Linked DNA regions of Danio rerio. The protein of the gene in region 1 purifies or fractionates together with the protein of each later gene. This does not show direct contact. Links are inferred from orthologs where the notes say so. Each region holds a gene or a part of one and is shown on either strand. Other genes may lie near its edges.

Region 1 (4,767 bases):
TTTTTTTTTATGTGTATTTAATATTTTTCTCTAACATATGAATTTAGATGTACTAGTTTTTGGACCGTTAACATCAATTATTTTGTTAGATAAGCTCCAGATTTGGCTTTAGTACTGACTAAACTAATATATATGCACAAATATAATATTGTACAGCTTCCTTTTAAATATAATTCTGACTTCAACTCATTCATTCGTTTATTCATTTTCTTTTTGGCTCACAATTCGCTATGGTTAAGTTGAATTTAAATTTATTTAATAAGATTCACCCCAAAATAAACTCCACATGCTTTTATAATACACAGTAAAAATGTCACTAGAAGAAACTAAAATAAATATAATATTATATAACATATTATATAACATATAATATAACATATAATAGGAAATAGTAATACTGTGAAATTGTCTTTGCTCTGATAAGTATTGGAAGTAAGTTTTGCGAAAGAATTGGAGGGCTAACAATGTCATCTTCGACTGTATGTAAATTCAACTTAACCAATGAATAACAATAGCTCGCCCGCTGCCAGTAATTTGTTCAGCTGCAGCTGTGGGTGGCAGATACTCTTTAAAACACATGCATATACACAGACACACACACATCCTCTTCTCTGCGTCCTCCATAAGTCACCAATGTCCCCTAGTTAACGCCGTCTCCTCCCATCCGCACAACAGTTTGCTTTGTCATGAACAGCCAGCCGGCTCTCAGACAAAGCTTTGTTTTCAGCGGTGTGTGTCTAAATCTGATGCTGGCCGAGAGGGCAGCTTGACCAGGCCTGCGCTGACCCTTTGATTGTGCACAGACTGCTCACAATAAGACTTGTCTTGCACACACTGACTGGACCGACTGTTAACTGATCGCAGCGTAATAGTGGCTTTGTTTGCACTCGATCAAACGTCAGGTTCAAGAATGACAACCATGCATGCGCAAATAGTTGTTTGTGGTGATTTCTTTACTGTGAATGTGAGCGGATGTACCTGTCTGAAGCTGCGGAGGCTGTTCTCAGCATCTTCTCTTTGAAGCATCTCTTCTTGAAGTCTGGAAATGAGATGCATATTTAAGCAGAGCCACACCCTTTACTATAAAAACAGCCTCGTGGAGCATCACACAGTGGATAGAAATCAGTAATCAGTTTATTTTAATTTACTGTATCAAAACATGAAGAAATTATGTTGTTTTTTTTCCTTGATAATGTTAAAAAAAAGTTTATAACAGAGATTTGCGCCAATAGAAATTCAACATGCTATTATTTGACACTGAACACTGTTTAAAAATGTCAGCTTTTTTTAAATTCAAGCCATTAACATGATTTAATATTAGCATTTATGCTATGTAAAATGGTTCCTGTTTTAAAATATTTGATTTTATCATTATGAACTGTATATCTGATCATATTTTAATGAAATGTCTTAAGAATTGTTAAATCTCTGTATTAAACAAGTCATTTTTATATATTATATAAATTAAATTATATATTTATTATATATATTTTTTATTTTAATGAAATACTGTCATAATGATTACACTATTGCACAATTGCTAGCCTATGCTTAACACTTTTTTATTTTATAGCAAACATAAAAGATTGCCTATACATTTAAAATGAAGTATTTCTAAACGAGTCATACGTTTTACAAAGCATTTTATAATGCATTGTTAGATTATACTAACAAATGTCAATTTAAGCATTACGAATGTATAGGCGATGTATTTTGGTGCATTTAAACAAAACAGATTTACTAAACAGATATATTTATTAAAATATTATTTTAGTCACCAAACATAGTTAAAAATTGATGGATAAAACAATTAAATTAAAGCAAAATATTGCAAAAACTAAGTACGACCTACAAAATTTCAACAAAATTTTCCCCTTTTTTGCTTTTCTGGATTTTTCCTCTTTTTTAAATTTGTATTTAATATTTTTCTATAACATAAATTTGGCTGTACTAGTTTTTCATTAATTATCATAAGTTATTTTGTTAGATAAGCTCCAGATTTGGCTTCAGTACTGATTAAATGTACCCTATATGCACAAATATAATATTGTATCGCTTACTATTAAATATATAAATTTAAAAGACAGATCTGTGAGGGGTGTACTTATATATGTTGAGCACTGTATTTGCCTAAAAATGCTTTTATCGAAAGAAAGAACTTTTAACCTCAATGGAACCTTTTAATTTCCCAAAAGCTTCTTTACAGTGGAAAAAGATTCTCAAAATGCTATGAAATTGTTTTAAAATAGTTTTTGAAGAACTTTTCACTAAAATTTTTGAGATCCAGAAAGGATCAATGAACAATAAGCACAATAATAAATATTTATAATAATAATAATAATATTTATATTTATCAGTAAAGTTTAATTTAGTTATGACTAACCTATAGGCTGTTTAAGTATAAAAACATAGTGAAAGTTACAAAAAAACAGACAAACATTCATCTGTTAACCTTTTAAATGCACATTAAGTTAGCATAAAATAACAAAAACAAAACGTAAAACATATTATGTGCGCCTGCAAGTTATTTAACACTTGACACTAAGTTTTTAGACAGTAATAGTGCCAGAACAGACCTCTCCTTGAGGCGCTCGATGTCCTCCCCTAGGTTGTCCCGGTCCACCTCCACTTTGCTCTTTTCCCCGGTCAGCTGATCCACCTGTCTCCGCAGCTCCCGCATCTCATCCTCGTACAGATCTCCGACCCGGGACGCTCCTTTGCCCCGCAGCTGCTCCAGCTCCGCGATCAGGATCTTGTTCTGCTGCTCCAGAAAGCGCACTTTGTCTATGTAACTGGCGAACCGGTCGTTGAGGTGCTGCATCTCCGCTTTCTCATTGGTCCGGTTGGCTTTAAACTCGGTGTTTATGGCCTCGGCAAGCCCGAAATCCAGAGTGTCGGTGGCGAGTCTGGGAAGGGGCGCGCCGGAGCGCACTCTCAAGCTTTTACTCGCGTACACGGATGGAGGCGCGCTGCTGTAGTTGTAGGACGTGCGCGAGGAGGAGACGCGCACTGGGCTGCTGTACTGCCGGCTGGAGAAAGTGGACCGCGCCGCCGCGGGACGCTCCCCGCCGAACATCCTTTTATAGGAAGATGTGCTTGTTCGACTGGCCATGGTAATCCTTTAGTTTGCGGGTTATTGTTGAAGTCTAAATATCGCACCCTGTCCAGACCAAACGGGGATACTGCGGAGGTTCGGCTGGTTTTTATAGTCCACTCCCTATGCTAATGACATAACGGTGCGGGAGGCTCTGTGACGCAGGCACGCCGCCGGGGCGGAGGGGTGAGGAGACCCTCCAGAACCTGCAGTGAGAGAGTTTCATGGGGAAAAAGCTGGAAGATTTGTTTATTTTTTGTTAGAAGATTTGTTCAATTCTTTATAAAAAATATATGCAAAATGCAGGGTTCCACACAAATCCTACATGTTATATATATATATATATATATATATATATATATATATATATATATATATATATATATATATATATATATATAATTTTTTTGTACAAATTTAAGTGAATTGAACATAAACCAATCAAGTTGTCCCCCCAAAAAACTTAAGAACTGTCTTGTTTCAACTCATTATAAATAAGTAGTTTAAACAAGCAGCAAAAGTTATTTTTACTGAGTCTGTTTAGCCAATTTATGTTTAGCATTATTTAAAAAATAAAAATGAATTAATTATTTAGGCCTTATTGATCATCATCATCATATATTAACATAGCCTCTATTCTACCAGGAAAAAGCACATTGAGATTAAAAGTCTCTTTTACAAGAGCCTCCTGGCCAAAATTAAGCAGTTCGGCTTAACAAAAAAAAAAAAAAACAGATAACATCATTCATCAAAACAAGCAAAAAAATTACAGATCAGTCAGAACATCTACAGACCAGTGTTTCAAAATCTTTTTCAAGGTATGTAGAGAAACCAACTCTTTCAACTGCAACTTTGATTGCAGGTTATTTCATGCAAGGGTTGCTATTTAAAAGCCTTTTTTCCCCTTATATCACCACTGGTACAATAAATTAAATTCCTGAGACTAAAGGCTATAGAGACAGTTTTTTTCTTTCACAAATGTACGTTTGCAGATATGAGGGGAGTAAACCCAGGATAGATTAATAGACAAAGATATACCAATGCTTGAACCGATGGGTGGACAAAGCAGACCATCCTACCTGAGAGAACAACACAAAATGATTGTGGGATTTGTGGGATGAGTGAGGGATTTAATATTTGTCATAAACCTCAGTGCACCACAGTAAACAGCATCTAATTATGCTTATTAATATTGTTGAGTTATTTTTTAATTAACTTTGGGGTAAATAGATTGAGGTATTAAGCAGATTTGTGAATAATAATTGAATAATTTAGGTAACTTCTGAAAGAAGATTTTATTCAAGTCAAATTATGTATTTATTTGTTTATTTAATGTTAGTACTATTTAATACCTAAGCATTCACTGATGGGTGTCATGGTGCTACGCAGTGGGTAGCATGATTGCCTGACAGCAAGAAGGTTGCTGGTTTGAGCTGTGAATGGGCCAGTTGGCATTTCTATGTGGAGTTTGCATGTTCTCTCCGTGTTCGCATGGGTTTTGCATGCTCCAGTTTGCCCCACAAGTGCAAGTTCAAAGACATGCAGTACATATGAATTGGGTAAGCTAAATTGACCTTAGTGTACGAGTGTGAATGAGTGTGTATGGGTGTTTCCCAGTGATGGGTTGCAGCTGGAAGGGCGTCCACTGCGTAAAACATATGCTGGATAAGTTG
Region 2 (4,061 bases), on another chromosome or scaffold:
AAACATGTCAGACTACATAATTAAAATAAACTATTGACTTCTGCTGTCTTCATTAGTTTCAAAAACACAGATTTCCTTACAACACAAAAAGAAAAAACTTCACATATACCTTAGAAATGGTGTAACAAGCAGTTTTAATACCTTGACTTTTTCAAACTGCAGTAAACCTTGAAACCGGTTATCGTTCTATGCCTAATTGAGAAAGACGTTTGCGACAACGGAGGTGCGTAATGTTTGATCGTCACATGATTCATGAACTTCAAATCGTTCCAGGAAGTGTTTTGCGGTTTATTCAAATAATATTAAATGATGTTAAATCTTACACATTATCAAACTTATTTTTGCAAAACGTCGTGCTTTTCAAAGGTGCATCACCTGTTTGTAAGTGCTAATTTCTGGGAATTATTGAGAGTCTCTCCACAAGCTCTCGCAATTTTCTCTTTGGCTCTGGTTTCAGCCTCCTTTTTTCCTTTTTTATTGCATAACAAGAACAATAGCATACAAAAATATGATAAATACAATGCTTACATTTTCACATCAAAGGAACAAATCAGTAAAGAATAATAAAAAAAATAAATAAAATTACAGGGGATATATAAATTACAAAAAAATTGAAAAAGAGAAAATGATTCCAAAATTGCGTACATCCTTATAGCTTTTTCATTTTTAATGTCTTTTAGGGTTTCAATATAATGCTTAAGATCAATTTTAAACAAATAAATATTAGGTTTGTCGTTGGACCATTTTTGTTTTTGCACATGGTACTTCCCATATATAATCATTAAATTAATAAACAAATTTTGCTCAAATTTTATTGTTATTAATATTGTACATCAAAAAAAAAAATCTTTACAAGAAAACTGTATATGTGCATTCAAAAAACAGGTGTTTAATCGATTCTTCCTCTAATTCACAAAAAGTGCATAAAGATTCCATGTCATTAAAAAAGATTTTAACAACTTGTTTCACTTGACAAATTAAATGAATTAGTTTATGTCACTTCCTAAACTTTATTGGTGAGACAGTATTTACTAGGTAAATTCCATTCCTTTTTCCCTTTTCTTAGGAGGAACTGTATGGTATGACAACTCTCAGCCTTGTCATCCACGGTTACATCAAACTCATGTGCGCCCCCTGTTGGAAGGAGGACAGCTGGTGAAGTCTCTCCGACCCCTCACTCATTCCCTCAGAGCCATTAAGAGCCCAGCAGAGGTTGCACTGATGAAAGAGGCAGGACGGATCACTGCTCAGGTAGTGAATCCATAATAGTACTGTACGTCTTGGAAAAAATACTTTAAAGGGGTCATAGTGCATAATTTAGCCATTTGAGATTGAAAAGGATTTGCAAAATGACAATTTTCTTCAGTGGGAATTATTCTGTACATTAGTAACCACTAGGGTTGTCAAAAGTGTTGACTTCGGTATTAATCGCTACTGATGTTTTAAAGATTTCCATTTTCCTTGAACATTTGAGCACATTTTTAAACTGCTAACTGCCCATTGTGTTCATGTGGTCACCAGATATGACTGTTTGGCTCTGAAGATCATTGCTTCACCGTTGTTCACTAATGGCCCATTTCCACTGAGTGGTACAGTTTGATACGGGTCGGTACGAATCACTTTTATCAGGCTTGCGGTTCCACTGCCAAAAGGGTACCAATTTTGGTGGGCGTAGTGTATGCCAGAAAGTTTCAGTCGACGTCATTCTCACTTAAGCTAAATGTCAAACTAAAGCTTTACGGGTCGTTTACATATCATATGAGAAGCACTTCTCACAAGATGCTTTATACACAAAAAATACTTGTGTATAAATGTTTATTACTAACCTAATGAACGTAATTTGATTAGAACTGCGGATCAATTACAGTGCGAAATAGCCTACTGCAACGTCTGCAATTATATAAAATAAATAAATAAATTTAACATTTATGAACACACAGACCCTTACAGTCTCAGATATGTTACCAATTACAGAAAAACTACACAACGCATACATTTAGTTTTTATTTGGGTTCAAAAACAACACACAACATATAGCCCACAGTCAGTGCAAACCTCTCATCTGTATATTCAATCTTTACCAGCACATGTAACCTCTGTTAAAAAATAATTCCGTCATTCCCGAGTTCATAATAGTCTAAAAGGTGATGATAATAGTTAAACATGGCAGTTATTTGCTCCTTTGTTTTTCTGGATTCTCCTTTGTTTTTTCGCGAGTCACTCTCGCGTTTGTCCGTTTCTGAAAGGATCGGATGTCAGAAGCACTTTATTAATAACACACACACGCTATTATCATCAGCTCAAGAAGTTCATTATGTTTAAATATAGACGCATAAAAAGTGGTGTGGTACGGTTCGCTTTTAGGTTCATTTTGACTGTGGAAATGGCCATAAAAGCGTACCATACCATAACACTCAGTAGAAATGGGCCATAAGCGCAAACAAATAATAGTTGAAACCTAGAGCTTTTGAAAACAGTGTCTATCTTGATCTGTCTATGATCGTTCAGCTGATATATTTTTGAAAATTTTAGTATCAATTGGTATGATTGTAATCAATATTTCTGCCAACCCTAGTAGTGAAAAGTTTCTGAAGGGTGAGGCTTTTTTGAATTGTGTTAGTAGCATGTTGTTGGCTGTTTGAGACATATAATATACTGATACGCTCAGTTTCTTCAAGAAATGTTTACATTCACTGACATAAACAGCATTATGAAAACTTTTTGTGTGCTTTTTACATTAGCTGTAATACTTGCGTGACCTTGCTAACTGATGTGATTGCACTTAAAAGTCTGTGAGCTGAGTAAACCTAAGATCAGATTGGTTTAGAGAGACTAGTTCAAGGTTAAAAATTTAGTTGTGTTTATCCTCAGGCATTTAAAAAGACAATGGCTATGTCAAGAGGAAACATTGATGAGGCTGTTCTCTATGCAAAGGTGAGTAAAGGGACTAAATACAGTCTTTAAATTCATGGTTATGCAGTAGAGATTGTAATATTTTTAAAAAATAATTAATGCTTTAATGGTCTTAAGAAGTTTATTTTTATTTTTGTACTAAGTTTCTTATGTCTATCAAACTTCACCTGTATAAAATATATTTAAAATTTTTATAATAACCGTCAATTATTAATTTTTCTCTAAGTTGATACATTTTAAATTGTATTTATTCCTGCTGTTTTGTTGCTTCTTCTCAGTCACTTTTTAACTAGCATAATGTTATAGCAGTCTTTCTTATGTTTTGATCGTTCCACATATCTGGCATAATACTGTACAGTTTGGCATGAACACTAACATTTTCAGAAGTGTACTTTCAAATATTTAACACAATGTGGCATAACAAATAAAACATCCAGTCAAATATAAATCCAGAGTTTGTTGCTAGGACCAAAGTTCCTTAAAACACAATCATTTATTAAACAATACAACAGGAGAAAAGAAAAACTAAAGTTTCAGCTATGAGCCTTCATCAGTGTAATGATTCATTATTGTTTGATGCTTATATACTCAGTCATCATGTCAGGAGTTCACAATCAGTTGACCAGCAGATTCATTTTAGTCTCATTAGGATCACTGCACAGAATTAGAATGGAAAAAGTTATATATCAGGAAGAAAGAAGGAAAAAAAAAGAGAAAAAATTATAAATTGAGCATGGACCATCTTTGCTGCTTGTCTTATAACAATGAAAAAAAAATTGTTAATCTTACTTCTGAACAATTCTTTTTGTAATGTAGCTGTATATGGTTGTAAGAACCAAAATTTCTGGTTTGGATATTTCAGAAAAAAAAAACAATCTGTTGGGATTTTCACGCACCGTCATGCCAGAAAATGATTATTACAGAGTGGTCACATTGCTTTTTGGTGTCAGAGGACAAAAAACAGATTCAAACGAATAGAAAGGCAACGGAAACTCAAATCACCACTCGTGAGATCCAAAGTCTGCAAAAGAGTATTTCTGAATTCTCACACCATGTGAATGTTTATAGCAGAGGAGCAGCAGCAGAAGAAGAAGAGCACACCAGTGACAGACCTTTCAGCTAAAACCATGACTCTGATGACTCTATGG
Region 3 (4,708 bases), on another chromosome or scaffold:
ACAACGAGCAAAAAATGTTTATGGGCCAGTCACGTTGCCACATTGAAACAGTCTTTAGTACAATGATCTCTTATATGTCAGAATTGATTCCTCAGTTCATCACCCCTTCTCGTTTAAAAAAATAATAATTTTCATGATATTAACAAGCTAAAAAACAATCATTTTAAATCTTCAGAGTTTCAATGGCTAAAGGAAAGAAGCATACAATGTATAGATAGTAAAATAAATTACCTCCCCACTGAAAATATAGTCTAATATCTGCCTCATGGTGGTCACTGCAATCCCCTGCAACTCGATTTTGTATACAGATCCATCCTCCTTTGGTGGGTTGTAATTTAATTTGGTCCTGGAAACACAGTAACACAAAGTAACATGAGTTTGCATTCACTGTGGATCTAATACAATGGCTTACTATAAATCTTGGAGATCTGATAAATAAAAGGCTCTACACTACATTTGTAAAGGTTTTTTTTTTTATTATTTGAGAGGAAAAACCTGTTTTCCGGTCAGGTTTTTCATGTTAACCCTTTGGGGTCTGAGTGGATTGTGGGGCACTGGATAAGTTTTGACATTTGTGATTTTTCAGCTTCTTGTAAATGTATTAATTGCTGAATGCAACATTATGTAAGCAGCAAAAAAAAAGAATATTAAATTGGGCTAGTAATTTTTTTGGACTCTTATCTTAATTTATTTGTTAGATTAGCTTCAGATTTGGCCTAATCTAATGTACATCCACAAGTATATTGTATATCATCCTTTAGAACATATTAATTTAAAAGAGAGATGTGTATACGTTTTATTTTTTTGGTTAAACTTATTTAAAAACAAAAAGTGATATACGAGGTCAGAAAAAAAAGTCACTGAAATAATGCCAAAACAGGTGTAAATATTTTTATTTAAAACTTTTGTCTAAAATGAGGAAGGGTAGTTTCTACAAAATTATATGTAACGCATCCTGCCCACTCACTCATATTAATAAATCTATCTAACTATTTTTTCAGTAACATATTGTGGACTGTTTTTATTTTCTTATATTCTTTTGTGCACAACAGTGACAAAAACTACTTTTGTAACAGAATTAATAACTCTCTAGTGAATTGCAACCAATAAGGAAAAAGGGACATTGATACAGTGTACCAATTCCCACAGCGTCCTTTTATTGCTCTCATCCATGCAAGACAATTTGGATTATGATAATTATAGATATGACTTACTACATAATTACAACTTTTAAAAACAAATGTCAACAGCAACAATTTTGAAAAAGACGGGAGAGTAGAAGTAACTTCATTTTGTTTAGTAGTGGTAACTCAGAAGTTTTGAAATTTTTTCACAGAAATATTTTTATATGATTTTATAAGATTAAGTTTTTCTATTTATATGTTCTGCTTTCATTTTAATTGTAGTCCAGGTTTTAGCAATTTTCTTATATCTAATAAAATTTATAGTCTTTTTTCTTTTTGTTTACATACACTAAAAATTAAATGATCAATAAGTCATGATAATGAATGTTTTCATGTTAATTATAACTTAATAAAACACATTAATCACAATTCTAACTTAATCTTTTAGATCAATATAAAAGCCATTTTAAGCCAGTTTAATTTTAGGTCAAATCCCTTATAAGGTTAATATAATTTAACTTAGAAATTTAAGACAACGCTGTTTTAATGGTGTAACTATTTGCCTAGCTTAACATTTTAGTACTTAAATGAACTTGAGAATGACAAATGCCTTGAATTTATAATAATTGTGCCTTGAATATATAACATTGCATAACATTTAAATAAATGATACAATTTCATCTTATTTAATAATAAAATCACTTTTCTTAATGATTCAGTTTAAAATTAAACAGCAGAACATTAAGAACTTGTGAAAATAGAGTAATATAAAATTTTTGTAATTATTTATGTGAGTTTTGTGGCCTTTTTGAGGCCTTTCAGTAACCATTCATTGTCAATGCACAAAATAATATATTTACTTAGCTAATTATTTTAGTTACTTAGCTATTTATTATGAGTATGATATATATATAATAGCTTTTTAAGAAATAAATGATACTATTTTAACTTTTAAAGCAAGTAATGAAATAGCTTTTCTTAAGGATTTAGTTTAAAAATTTAATATTAAAATATTAAGAACTTATATAAGCCTTTGATTTATAATAATTGTGCCTTGAATATATAATATAGGTTTTAAAAAATATACTATTTTTTTCTTATTAGGTAATAACATCTTTTTTCATATTTTCTTGTGGATTTAGTTTAAAATTAAATAGCAGGGCATTAAGAACTTGTGAAAATTGCATAATATGAACCATTTTTGTAACACTTTTATGTGAATTTTGTGCCCTTTTTGAGTCCTTTCAGTATTCATCCATGATCAGTCATTAAAACAGTTTCTTTTGTGTTCTGTATGCCTTTTACAGTATGTGCTGCTGGTTAACATGAGGGCGTGTAAATTACTTTACTCTTCTGTCTTTTTTGAGAAAACTATTAATTTAAGTGACCCAAGCAACAGGCAAGGTGGAGCTGTTTGGCACACCCATATGACACATTGCTCAAGGGTCTGCAACATGTCTGAGCAAACATAGCAGCAGCTACTCATCTGATCTCACCTCATGCAAATCTATTCAAGTTTCAGGCATTTTCCCATACCTGATGTACGGACTAGCAGCAGCCAGAATGTTTTTCTGCACAGGAATCTGTTCACCTTCCAAAACCAGCACTGCATCTTGAAAACAGTCGTCCTGTCTGAAAGACTGAAGGACCCTGAGAAGCTTCTGGGAGTGCTGAGGGTCCGAAACCACTGATCCAGCATCAGCGCCAGCTCTTTTAGGGTCTGACATGCTGTAACAACACGTACAGTACAGACAGATGTGCTGTTAACACAACACAACAACAGCAACATGCTCCAGGTTTGTGTTGAATAAACAAAATGACAGGTTTAAATCATATAAACTCACTCAAATGTGCGTCAATTAAAGTTGTTCTGGGTATTTGCTAACTTCAGCCGCTCATAGCCATCTGTGTGTGTGTTTCAGGACAGCGAAAACTGCAGAAAAACAATTCTCGGCTGCTTCATGTCATGGCACTGCACGACGTCACCAGGAAGAGCATTTAACTTAGGTTTTTCAAAATAAGAGCCCCCTTTTTTGAAAACAGCACTCAGGTGTCTAATTTCTATATGGCGCAGGTGTCAAACTCCTGGAGGGCCACTGCTCTGCACAGTTTAACTTTAACCCCAATTAAAATACACTTGATCAAACTAATTGGGTCCTTCAGGCTTATTTGAAACAAAGAGCATAGCGCAAGTTATTTGTTTGGAACCTAAGTGTGTTGAAGCATAGTTGGAACGAAACTTTGCAGGACTGCAGTCGCCCTACAGTATATATATATATATATATATATATATATATATATATATATATATATATATATATATATATATATATATATATATATATATATATATATATAGTATGTGTTTTTTCAACACATTTGTAAACATAATAGTTTTAATAACTCATTTCTAATAAATGTTTTATTTTATCTTTGCCATGATGACAGTAAGTATAATATTTAACTAGATATTTTATTAAGACACTTCTATACAGCTTAAAGTGACATTTAAAGGCTTAACTAGATTAATTAGGTTAACTAGGCAGGTTAGAGTAAGTAGGCAAGTTATTGTATAATGATGTTTTTTTTCTGTGGACTATCGAAAAAAATAGCTTAAAGTAGACCGAAATAAGGTCTTTATATATATATAGCTGTTTTAAAGACTAATTATACTGTGTATAATTAAATTATTGCAATAGTTTTGTAAAGTTTGTAGCTTAAGCTATTTACATGCTATTTTATAGCTATTTATACTAATATGTAGACTCCCTGGCTAACATTCAAATTACTTCACGAGGACAAAAAGTTTTTAGAGATTTATACATTCACACACACTTTTTATTACATTTATGCAGCATAAGTCATACACGTTGATTAATTTAAGTTTTCATATCAGTGTCAAGATTCATGTCTTTGAAACAGCCACTCTTTGCTCAGGTGTAATGGATTTAAATGAACAATTTACAGGACAGTAAATCCCTCTGTTGCTTAGTCATTAAAAGTGTCATCAATCACTGCTTCCTGTCAGGACATTATATGGGAGAAGAGGTTGGTGTACGCTGGACAAATCTGCCCTTTATGCATGAAAAGAAAGAGTATTAAGCTTCTGATTTATGACGACTGGTGACCTCGAATATGTGAATGAGTGAGAAGAAGAAGAAGATTGAATTAATCTTTCATTAAGAGAGAGCTATATTGTGATTTAACACCCGTTTGTGGCGCTGATCGGCTGTGCCAGTTATCATAAAGAGGCCAGAGCTGTTCTCTTTAATTCTGGTGATTCATACGTATTTCAGTGGAATATAAAGAGGAGATTTTAATTAGAGTCTGTAGGATATACCCTTTACCAAGTATAAAACCTTTTATAGCGTATTAAATTGGCCTGGACTTTCCGTGACTTGGCATGTCCTCTAGTGTTAATGAAAAATACCCTCCGAGCACTAGATGGCGCTCACGGAACATACATTCAAAATTACTTGTTAGATTATGGTTATAAATGTCTCCAAAAACTGTAGACAAATAATACACATTAAAAAAAGACATAAGTGGCTAAGTTATCATCTCTACAGTGTCTGTGAGTTTGA
Region 4 (4,682 bases), on another chromosome or scaffold:
GGAGGCCCCATTGGAGATGGACCCATATGACAGGGACCAGGAGGGCTAAAGTGAGGTGTAGTGAACGGAAACCCAGGAATTCCATGAGGAGAAGAATCACGTTTGTGCTCTTTTCGTTCTGAAAAAGAAGGAAATAACATAATTGCTATTAATTGAAGATGTCTATTTGCAAAAGATCTGAGATATTCAAAGGCTTGTATGGTCAAAGTACGTAATGATGAATCCAAGATGAAAAAGTATTCACACTCTTTAAATCTAATGTCATCATTAGACGCTCTTTCCAATCATGTAATCTTTCCAACCTTATAAACTGTGCACATGTAAGTGGCAGGTGTTTTAGTTTTATAGTATTCTAGTACTCAAATAACAAGAGTGAATCCAAGAACCAATCAAAATCTTCACAAAAGATCCTCACTAGTATTCCCTTATGGAAAGAAAAAGGTTTTCAAAAATATTTACCCCCCCCCCCCCTATTTGAATAGGGCAACGAAATATTGTTCTCTACAAAGTTTTATTGAATCAATCTCTGATAGACTCCCCATCAACCAATCACTGTTTGCATAGTTATTAAAGATGCTGACGTCATCCAGAGCAACAAGGTTGACTACGCCTTTTGCTCTTAGCTCATGACTTCTCTCTATTCCTAAGTAAGTTTGTCTCAGCAGCTTGAGAATAAGAGAACGCTTACACATGGAAGTTAAGGATGAAGAATACACTTTGATATTACAAATACAATTACTCCAACTGCTCTGAGTTAATCTAGTCTTCATAACGCAACAACAATGTTTTCAAAGCCTACTAACTTGGATGCATTCAAAAAGTAGCATGCCAGAATTCGCTGTATCTAGTAATATTCCAAAGAATGCATCAGATGGAAAAATTTACCTTCCCATGAGATCATGGAAATGTTTTGAGAATGGCAGCGGAGCAACACAACTGGTAGATGTCTTTTGTAACTTTACGTCACTTCACAAATATAATGTGAATGCAGTCGGTGCAGATTGCATTCATACTATATAGAACACGCCTGAAGCTAGTTATTAAAAGCACCACCTACAGAGAGTATGTGATTTTGGATGCAGCCAAATATGATTGTTTGTTAGGTTCGCTCTGATATTCCCGTTTATGGTTTCCTTGTGACAACAAAATGGATTTGTAGATTCTATTTAGGCTTACATTTACACTTAAAGTCCCAAAGAGTTGCACCACCCACACATTATTGACACTTCACTGTGTGTACATTCACGATAGTCAAACTGCAGGATTTAAAGTAAGGCGGTAGCAAAGGCATCACAAAACAAATACAATGTGTGAATTAATTGTAAACCGTGACAATCACGAGTGAAAGTTTATAATTTGCATGGGATTTTAAGGCCTGTTACTCTGTAAACAATATAGGCATATTTACAGAATTTAGGTTGAATAAAATATTAAAGGTTAACAGTATTTTATTTATAGAATAAATACTATACAGGATTATTTTAGATTCGATTATTTTCCCCCTAACATCATGCAGCCCTGACAAACACACACTGAAGCCACGGTCTATGCGAACTTCTAAAGTATTTTAGTGACTTCATAGATCTGGAAAAAGAAATGAAAACCACGTCTTTGACCCTTATGAGGTATTGCTAGCCTAACTGCTACCTTTAACACAGTCGTTTTGTTTTTTGATATTTATTTTTAACAAACATAGATATTAAAATTACCATCTAACATGCTAAACTCAAACTAAAGTTTGTTTGCGGCGAGTAATAAAAAGTTGCAACAGATACATTCCAAAAGCAAATTCAAGACATGGTTCATCCCAAAAAAAATTCACCCTTCCTTGACTTTTTTCCCCCTTCAGCTAAAGAAAAAAATGGTTTTTCCTACTATGGAAATCAATGGTTACTGGTTTTCAGCTTCCTCTAAAATTAGCATTTTTTATTAGGCTCCTGTGTGTATGTTCAGCAATTTCACTTTTATAGAAACTATTCTCAACATAAAAGAGGCTGAGAAATTCCAGACAGCACTTATATATTTTTTTTTTTTCAAAATGTAGAAATTCTATAACTACTTCAGTGGGCGAGTACATTTTCATTGTTGATTAAACCATCCCTTTAAGTCTAATGATCATTTAATATGTGCAGGAAATTATATTTACAGGTATAACATAATATTCTTAAATAATCGAAACCCCTTCCTAAAATGGTAGTTATAGTTTGTGTATGTTACTTACGCTTGATGAAGAGACGGAAAGTGTCATCCTTCACAAGAGCCAAACCCATCATTAGCTCATCGTCAGAGGAAAAGGCAATCATATCACCATCTTCATCTAGAGACAAAGTTCAGGAAAACAGAATGGCATTTCTGCTGGTTATTATGATTGTCATCATGTTTTGTCTGATTAAAAGTTGATTACCACACACAACAATAACAAAAGTTTTTGCTGTTTTCTTTTCAGTAAGCACAGTGGATTTCAAATATTATGCTCATGGCTTGTTTATTACGGCCTAGTACAAACGTTCCCCATCAAACTTTGTACTTGGATGTAACAATAAACAAAGATGTTTCACAATGCAGTATCCATTTTAATGGCTCAGTAATACTGAACATAGAAAGACATAAAAATCTGCAAACTATGTTTCTCAATATGTACATTTATGTGCGTTTTCCTCAAGTTTTTTATTTCTAATATCGCTTCGTGAAATTTTATTAAAACTTCAAGTAACGTAGATAAATATAAACCGCCATTTCAAGTAAAACATTGAAAGACGACACAAACACACACTTGCTTGTGCAATAAATCAGTGTTATTAAAAAAAAACATTTCAGAATTCAAATTTGACTCACCTTTATAGTACATTTGGAAGGGCGCAGTCCTGAGACCGACAAAAACATCGAGCACTTTTCGCTGCAAATACTCGAAACTTGTTGAGACATCTTGATCCACGGCGAAGCGACGGATCTCCTTGTTGCAGTCCTCCTTACCGATAAGGTAAGCTTTCACTGTCATCGACATCGTAGCGGAAAATAGCTTCTCTCCCTGAACCTCTGGAAGTGTTGCGCAGTAGAAAATGCGTTTCTCGAGCACGGGACTCTGCGTTGGCTGCGTGAAAATGCGTTTCCTACTTCAGCCGACAGTGCTGTATATAAGCCTTGTACGTCAAATGCTAATGCAGCCGAGGAGCCGGCCAATCGTTGAGAGGAGCGCAAGTTTGGGGGCGTGTCTTCGCAGAAAGATGTCCACGTCCAGCGTCATTGCAGGACGGAGTTCATGTTGTCTGTGATCATGTGAGTCACATTTGAAAACAGAATGGACGATTTTCGGTGATCCGAGGAATGACATGGCAATATGATAGGGGAAATTCCCGCTGAAATCATAGGAGTGGATTAATGCCAAAAAACGCAGTGTTATATTCAAGGGCTATAAACATACATGTTCTGGATGTCATGTAATACTTTATACAAATTGTAGATTTATTTGGCTTAATTTTAGTTGTTTTAAGAAGTGAATATCAAACAAAAGTTCTTCTGCTATACTGTAACAGTCTCACTGTTAAACATTACCCACATCCATTTTTTTAAATGCCTACATATACAAATGTGTGGTAATATTTTTGTTTTAGTACAAGATAAACTTGGTTGCTTTGTTTGAAATCCAGTTTCTCATAATACAAGCTCTACTAAGCCCTGCAAGTTTGATGTGGTTGGTAAGAGGTGTTGTGTTTCTGCTACAGGTGCTAAACAAAGTGCTGCGTCATCATGAATGAAGTAGCAGTCGCCATTTCCTTAGGAAATGTTTGTCAAATGTATACTGATCAAATTTTAAGCTTAAACCTCTAGGAAACATTACACTACCAAACTTACGTTGTTTATAATAAGGAAACAACAATTTGCCAATGCTTAATGCATCCGTTTTTTTTTCAGATTTTTCTTACCATATATAACCATTTTACTCACCACAACCTCATTATATATATATATATATATATATATATATATATATATATATATATATATATATATATATATATATATATATATATATATACATATACACACACACACACACACACATATATATATATATATATATATATATATGTATATATATATATATATATATATATATATACATACATACATACATACACACACACACACACACACACACACACACACACACATATGTATGTGTGTATGTCTGTATATAGAGATTACAAATGTTTAATGTACATGATGACAATCTAGTATTAGTAGTTTAGTAACAATGTTATAACAAATATTAATTAAATTGTAAATGCATTATTGTTCATTGATATGTATATTATATTAAAACAGCAACAGCAGCAATATTAGAGTAATAATGATTATATGCCTAGTACTAGTAGTAATAATTATTATTATATACAAATATTAATATCCTTATTTTTATTTATCTACACATACATTAACTTTGATTTATCCACATTTATTGATATAACAACAACAACAATAATAATAATAATTATTATTATTATCATTATCAATAACATTAAGAAGATGAAGAAGTTTCTTTTATATAGCTCCTTTCTAAAACAAGGCTACAACATGCAGTCTCCAACAGTGAGACAGCATAAAGAAGCTCTTACTACATTATGCATAACAAGATACAGAACACGGGTTCATGAAACCTTCCAAAAAGAAAGATTATTATT
Region 5 (4,602 bases), on another chromosome or scaffold:
CAACACAAGTGTATACAGGATCATCTTCAACCACCAACACAGATGGCTCTTTCTCTGGAATGCTCATCTCGACAAACTGAAATGCATTTGCAAATCCATTCTTGTCCATTTTGTTGTCTGTTTCTGAAAGTAATTTCAGTGGTGTAGATATGGTTGGATGGGCTGCCTCAAAATCATCCAACTGCATCAACATCTGTTGCATAAGTCCATTAAACTTAGCTTGCAAAGCTTCTCTGCATTTTTGTGAAAAAGGCAGGGACTCTCCAGGAAGAGTTAAAGCAGCCTCGATCTCTTCCATGCAGTCTTCAAAATAGTCCTCATCTTCTTCTTCAATAAACAATGGTTCAAACTTTCTCTCCGTCTCTGATAGAGCCCCATTTCCTTTCTCACAGTTCATTTCTTGATCCTCCATATTACGTGTTGCCCTACAAGCTGAACAATACGTGAAACCTGTTTAATGTAACAAAGTGCAAAGCATTGATCTGCGTTAACAACATTCTTGTTGTTAGTGATTAGGTCTATTTATAACGCATTCTTGGGGTTGGTGATTGAGTTCATTTTAGACTAAGAGCATGTACAGTGTGCCTTGTGTTATTTCTGAGTAATGCAAAAGATGGTGATAGGAAATCTGAAGCTAATGCGTCATTGAGGGACAGCTGCATAAACTTGTCAAACAGCTGACTGATCATGAACACACTTAACAGTATGAATAGCATTTGAACAAAAAAGCTGTGATTAACATCATGAAGTGGGCGAGAGATGTAAATTTTCAGGATTCTCATGGGTGCAGGAAATCCTTGAAAATGCTTGAATTATAGTTTTAAGTTTTCCAACTTAAATATATAAGTTTTTCAAGTTTTGAAAAGTGGATAGATTTTTGATAAAGTGCATGAAACTGCTTGGAAATGCAATTGTGTTTCTTTCGTTGTAATTTATCTTACTTTATAGGTAACAATAATTAACTATTTAAATAAAATAAATATCTTTGCTTTAGCATAAAATGAAAACTCTTGAGTATGTGCAAGTGCTTGCAGAGTGAATTGTTTGTCTTTTTTTATCTGTGCCTTCTGAAATTTTAATAAATATCTATATGTATGTATGTAATCTGCCATGCTTGAAAATTCTGAAAAATGGAAAGTGCTTAAATTTAACTTTGGAAAAGCCATAAGAACCTTACAGAAGTAACACAAAAAGGACTATTCGAGTATGTTAGGACAGTTTTTTTTGATGGTCAGTTTGTTGAATTTAAGTTACATAGCTTCTACATGCCAACTAATTCTCTTTAGATTATAAGTAGACTGTTTGGTTGGGGTTAGGGTTAGACTTAGTGTAAGTTGACATGTACTTGCAAAGTTTCTTATAGTCAGTTAAATGTCTGTTGAAGGAGCAGCATCAACTAATATTAAGCAGACAGTCTACTAATATTCAAATGGACCATCAAAATAAAGTGTTACCAAATGTTATTTTAGTGCATAATTTTATTTTATGTTGTTTCTTTGTACAACCCAAAATCAGAAAAGGTTGGGACAGTGTGGAAAACGCAAATTAAAAAAAAATTTGTGATTTCCAAATTTACTTTGACTTGTATTTCATTGCAGACAATATAAACACAAAATATTTCATGTTTTATCTGCTTAATTTCATTTGTAAATATAGATCCTTTCCTGTCATTCAGACATGCAACACATTCCACAAAATATTGCGACAGGAGCAATGTAGGGCTAGTAGTCACCATTACACAATGTAAACGTGTACTGGGGTCAGATAAATCAGTATTTCAGTTTTTTTAGAGAAATAGATGCCATGTGCTCTAAATCAAAGAAGAAAATGATAATTCAGATTGTTACCAGCCATCAAAAGCCAGGGTTTTTCTTGGTATTGGGTTGTGTCAGTGACCTTTGCGATGAAATTTCTGTGATGCCACCATTAATGCGGAAAAGTACATATAGATTTTGGAGCACTGTATGCAGCCTTGTTTTCCAGAGACGCCCATGCATATTTTAACAAGACCATGTAACACCACATTCTGCACACATTATAAAGTTCTGGCAGCGGAGGAAGAGGTTACAGGTACTTGACTAGCCTGCCTGCAGTCCCGACCTGTTTCTGATAGAGAATGTGTGACACATTTTGAAGCACAGGTCCCCATACTGTTGCACACCTTAAGACTTGTTTGCAGAAAAAATGGGACAAAATTACACCTTCAGTCCCTAAACGTCTTTTAAGTGTTGTGAAAAGGAATGGCAACATTACAAAGTGGTAAATGCTTTACTGTTCCAACTTTTTTTTAAAAATGTGTTGCAAGAACCAAAATTAAAATAAATGTTTATTCACAAAAAAATTTAAATAAAAAATCAATAAAAATCATGAGGAACACAGTAAATTTTGTTTGTTGTATTGTCTGCAATGAAATAGAAATCATAGTAAATTTAGAAATCACTTTTCCTTTATTTGCATTTCCATACTGTCCCAACTTTTTCTGATTTTAGGTTGTAATTAGTTTTGTGTAATTAGTTTTGTATACGTTTCTGAAAAACAAACTATTTATACAAATTTTTTATCTTCTGATCTGAGCTGGTATTTCTTGCACTAGTCTTGATAGGGCACAGAGAGCAGCTGCTGCTGAAACTGGCAGCAGGAACAGACAGAGCACATTCCAGCCGTGCTAATGAACTCAAAACCTCCATCATACATGGACAACTGCTCATTCCTTCAACATGTTTACTCATGCAGACATATTAGTATCATATATGTTGTTTTAAAGTGATTATTAACTTCAATTAAAATGTTTCCTCCAGCTTTTCCAACTTTGAAACCATCAGCAAGAATAGAAACAAAGTGTGAAAGAAAACCTACAGAGACACTGCAATGAGTAGGAAGTGATAGCTAGAGCTGCGATAATCTGCCAATGTAAACATTCAGAAATCAAAAACCTTTGAGAAATAGCTGTTATAAAAATTTATCAACTCACCTCAACCCAGAAAACAAGGTTCCAGGACAATAACCATGGAATGAACCCAAACTGAAGAGCTGGTAACCAAACTGAAGCTCAAAATAGGACGGAGGTAGTCTGGCCCCTCTCTGACCGAGTTTAAACATATGCCACAGATCGCCCAGGCAACGTTTAATCTGTTTATATTTATTAATAAACACAAGGAGGAAGAAATATGAGCTTGTACAGCGCGGGCACCAACTCCAGCTAATCAGCAATCATGAGGTCCTCTGGGAGGCAACCTAAACACTGGAGCCAATAGGACAGCAGATAACAAACATATTATAACAAATTATCAAGGTCAGTGTCCAATGGGTGGCGAGTGTAGGGTTTGCATGAGACAGCATAATAAAAAATAAAAAAATAATAATAAAAAAAATAAAAAAATAAATATAAAAAAAAATAAAAAAAAATAAAATAAAAAAATAAAATAAAATAAAAAAAAATAAAAAAAAATAAAAAAAATAAAAAAAATAAAAAAAACTACTACTAACACTTCCCTTCTTAGACTTTACAGACCTGAAACTTGCCTTTAGTACTTATTCATTGTTGCTCTTAGTTGTGTAAATTGCTTCCTTGTCCTCATTTGTAAGTCGCTTTGGATAAAAGCGTCTGCTAAATGACTAAATGTAAATGTAATGTAAATGTAATAATTCAAGCAGGTCAGTCGCACAAGACTGGCATGCTACGATAACCAATGGGGAAAAGTTGCTTTTTGTGGTTTCCTAAACGGCACTGACCTACATTCAGAAATGACCTGAAAGCCTGGATCTCAAGCAGAATTAAAATTAAGTGGAAATTTAAAGCTCCAAGAAAGTCATTTTAGACAGTGAGATATAAGTAGCTTGTGTTTGTTTAGTAGAGTCCACCGCACCGAATTTCCCTGCCAATGCCTGCTCATTATCTCAGCTGCTTTAAATAGATGTCTGATCTAAATTTATGTATTACAGATTAGTTAAGTTAGGGAGGCAGCTAGTTTCAACAAACATGTTAACTGGTGATGTGATAACTTTAAATATTTAATCGAAGATATATTATGACAAATGTGAAATGTAAAGTAAAAAAACAACGTACGTTGATCAAAAGTTTTTGCATCTAAATCAAATAAAATTTTCAAATTTGTTTCAAAAAAGCTTTGTGAAAATAAAATTGATCACATCATTCCATCGTATAAGTCTGTAATAGATATGTTTGTGTATGAATTAAAAAACATACATGTACTTGCATATGAAAGATATACATATAAAAAAGTGATTGTTCTAAAACAATACATATTTTAGATAATTAAAAACATCTTGCTAACATATAGGCAAAACATGTATAATAATGTATAAAACGTATAAATGTTTGAAGATTTAAAATTAGAGTATTTGGGGGCTGCGCTGTGCTTTTTAAATAAAAGATTATTGTTTTAAATATTCCTTCCAAAGTTTATTTAGTATATAAATTATTGTACAATAATATATATTTTATAATAATTTAAACAACAGTTCTGTCTGGTTCTTGAATCTGATTGGCTGATAGCTGTGCGATATTCTGTCAGTAACAGCACTCGTACCACCTCTTCACCCTTCACCCGTGTGTATTACTCCACCCACATACAGCAGAAG

Evidence for each region.
Region 2: the proteins of vim (region 1) and xpnpep3 purify together in Homo sapiens (affinity purification with mass spectrometry; 3 studies listed by BioGRID and IntAct, with this or other methods). This does not show direct contact. The link is inferred for Danio rerio from reciprocal best matches to the Homo sapiens genes VIM and XPNPEP3.
Region 3: the proteins of vim (region 1) and gan purify together in Homo sapiens (affinity purification with mass spectrometry; 3 studies listed by BioGRID and IntAct, counting the BioPlex papers as one, with this or other methods). This does not show direct contact. The link is inferred for Danio rerio from reciprocal best matches to the Homo sapiens genes VIM and GAN.
Region 4: the proteins of vim (region 1) and sqstm1 purify together in Homo sapiens (affinity purification with western blotting; 3 studies listed by BioGRID and IntAct, with this or other methods). This does not show direct contact. The link is inferred for Danio rerio from reciprocal best matches to the Homo sapiens genes VIM and SQSTM1.
Region 5: the proteins of vim (region 1) and sync purify together in Homo sapiens (affinity purification with mass spectrometry; 3 studies listed by BioGRID and IntAct, counting the BioPlex papers as one, with this or other methods). This does not show direct contact. The link is inferred for Danio rerio from reciprocal best matches to the Homo sapiens genes VIM and SYNC.

Annotation. Positions count from the first base shown.
Region 1 is NC_133199.1:36,348,340-36,353,106, reverse strand, and holds the start of vim (vimentin), read right to left. Parts: upstream 3,180-4,767; 5' UTR 3,113-3,179; coding exon 2,577-3,112; intron 1,040-2,576; coding exon 979-1,039; intron 1-978. UniProt on the Homo sapiens protein: Vimentins are class-III intermediate filaments found in various non-epithelial cells, especially mesenchymal cells. Vimentin is attached to the nucleus, endoplasmic reticulum, and mitochondria, either laterally or terminally.
Region 2 is NC_133178.1:23,820,106-23,824,166, reverse strand, and holds part of xpnpep3 (xaa-Pro aminopeptidase 3), read left to right. Parts: intron 1-1,066; coding exon 1,067-1,251; intron 1,252-2,871; coding exon 2,872-2,934; intron 2,935-4,061. UniProt on the Homo sapiens protein: Catalyzes the removal of a penultimate prolyl residue from the N-termini of peptides, such as Leu-Pro-Ala. Also shows low activity towards peptides with Ala or Ser at the P1 position.
Region 3 is NC_133193.1:14,688,621-14,693,328, forward strand, and holds the start of gan (gigaxonin), read right to left. Parts: upstream 3,112-4,708; 5' UTR 2,969-3,111; intron 2,921-2,968; exon of another isoform or gene 2,853-2,920; 5' UTR 2,852-2,852; coding exon 2,661-2,851; exon of another isoform or gene 2,552-2,660; intron 347-2,551; coding exon 232-346; intron 1-231. UniProt on the Homo sapiens protein: Probable cytoskeletal component that directly or indirectly plays an important role in neurofilament architecture.
Region 4 is NC_133189.1:19,140,100-19,144,781, reverse strand, and holds the start of sqstm1 (sequestosome-1), read right to left. Parts: upstream 3,135-4,682; 5' UTR 3,005-3,134; coding exon 2,836-3,004; intron 2,561-2,835; exon of another isoform or gene 2,318-2,560; coding exon 2,222-2,317; exon of another isoform or gene 119-2,221; coding exon 1-118. UniProt on the Homo sapiens protein: Molecular adapter required for selective macroautophagy (aggrephagy) by acting as a bridge between polyubiquitinated proteins and autophagosomes.
Region 5 is NC_133194.1:33,456,952-33,461,553, reverse strand, and holds the start of sync (syncoilin), read right to left. Parts: upstream 3,261-4,602; 5' UTR 2,972-3,260; intron 451-2,971; exon of another isoform or gene 433-450; 5' UTR 413-432; coding exon 1-412.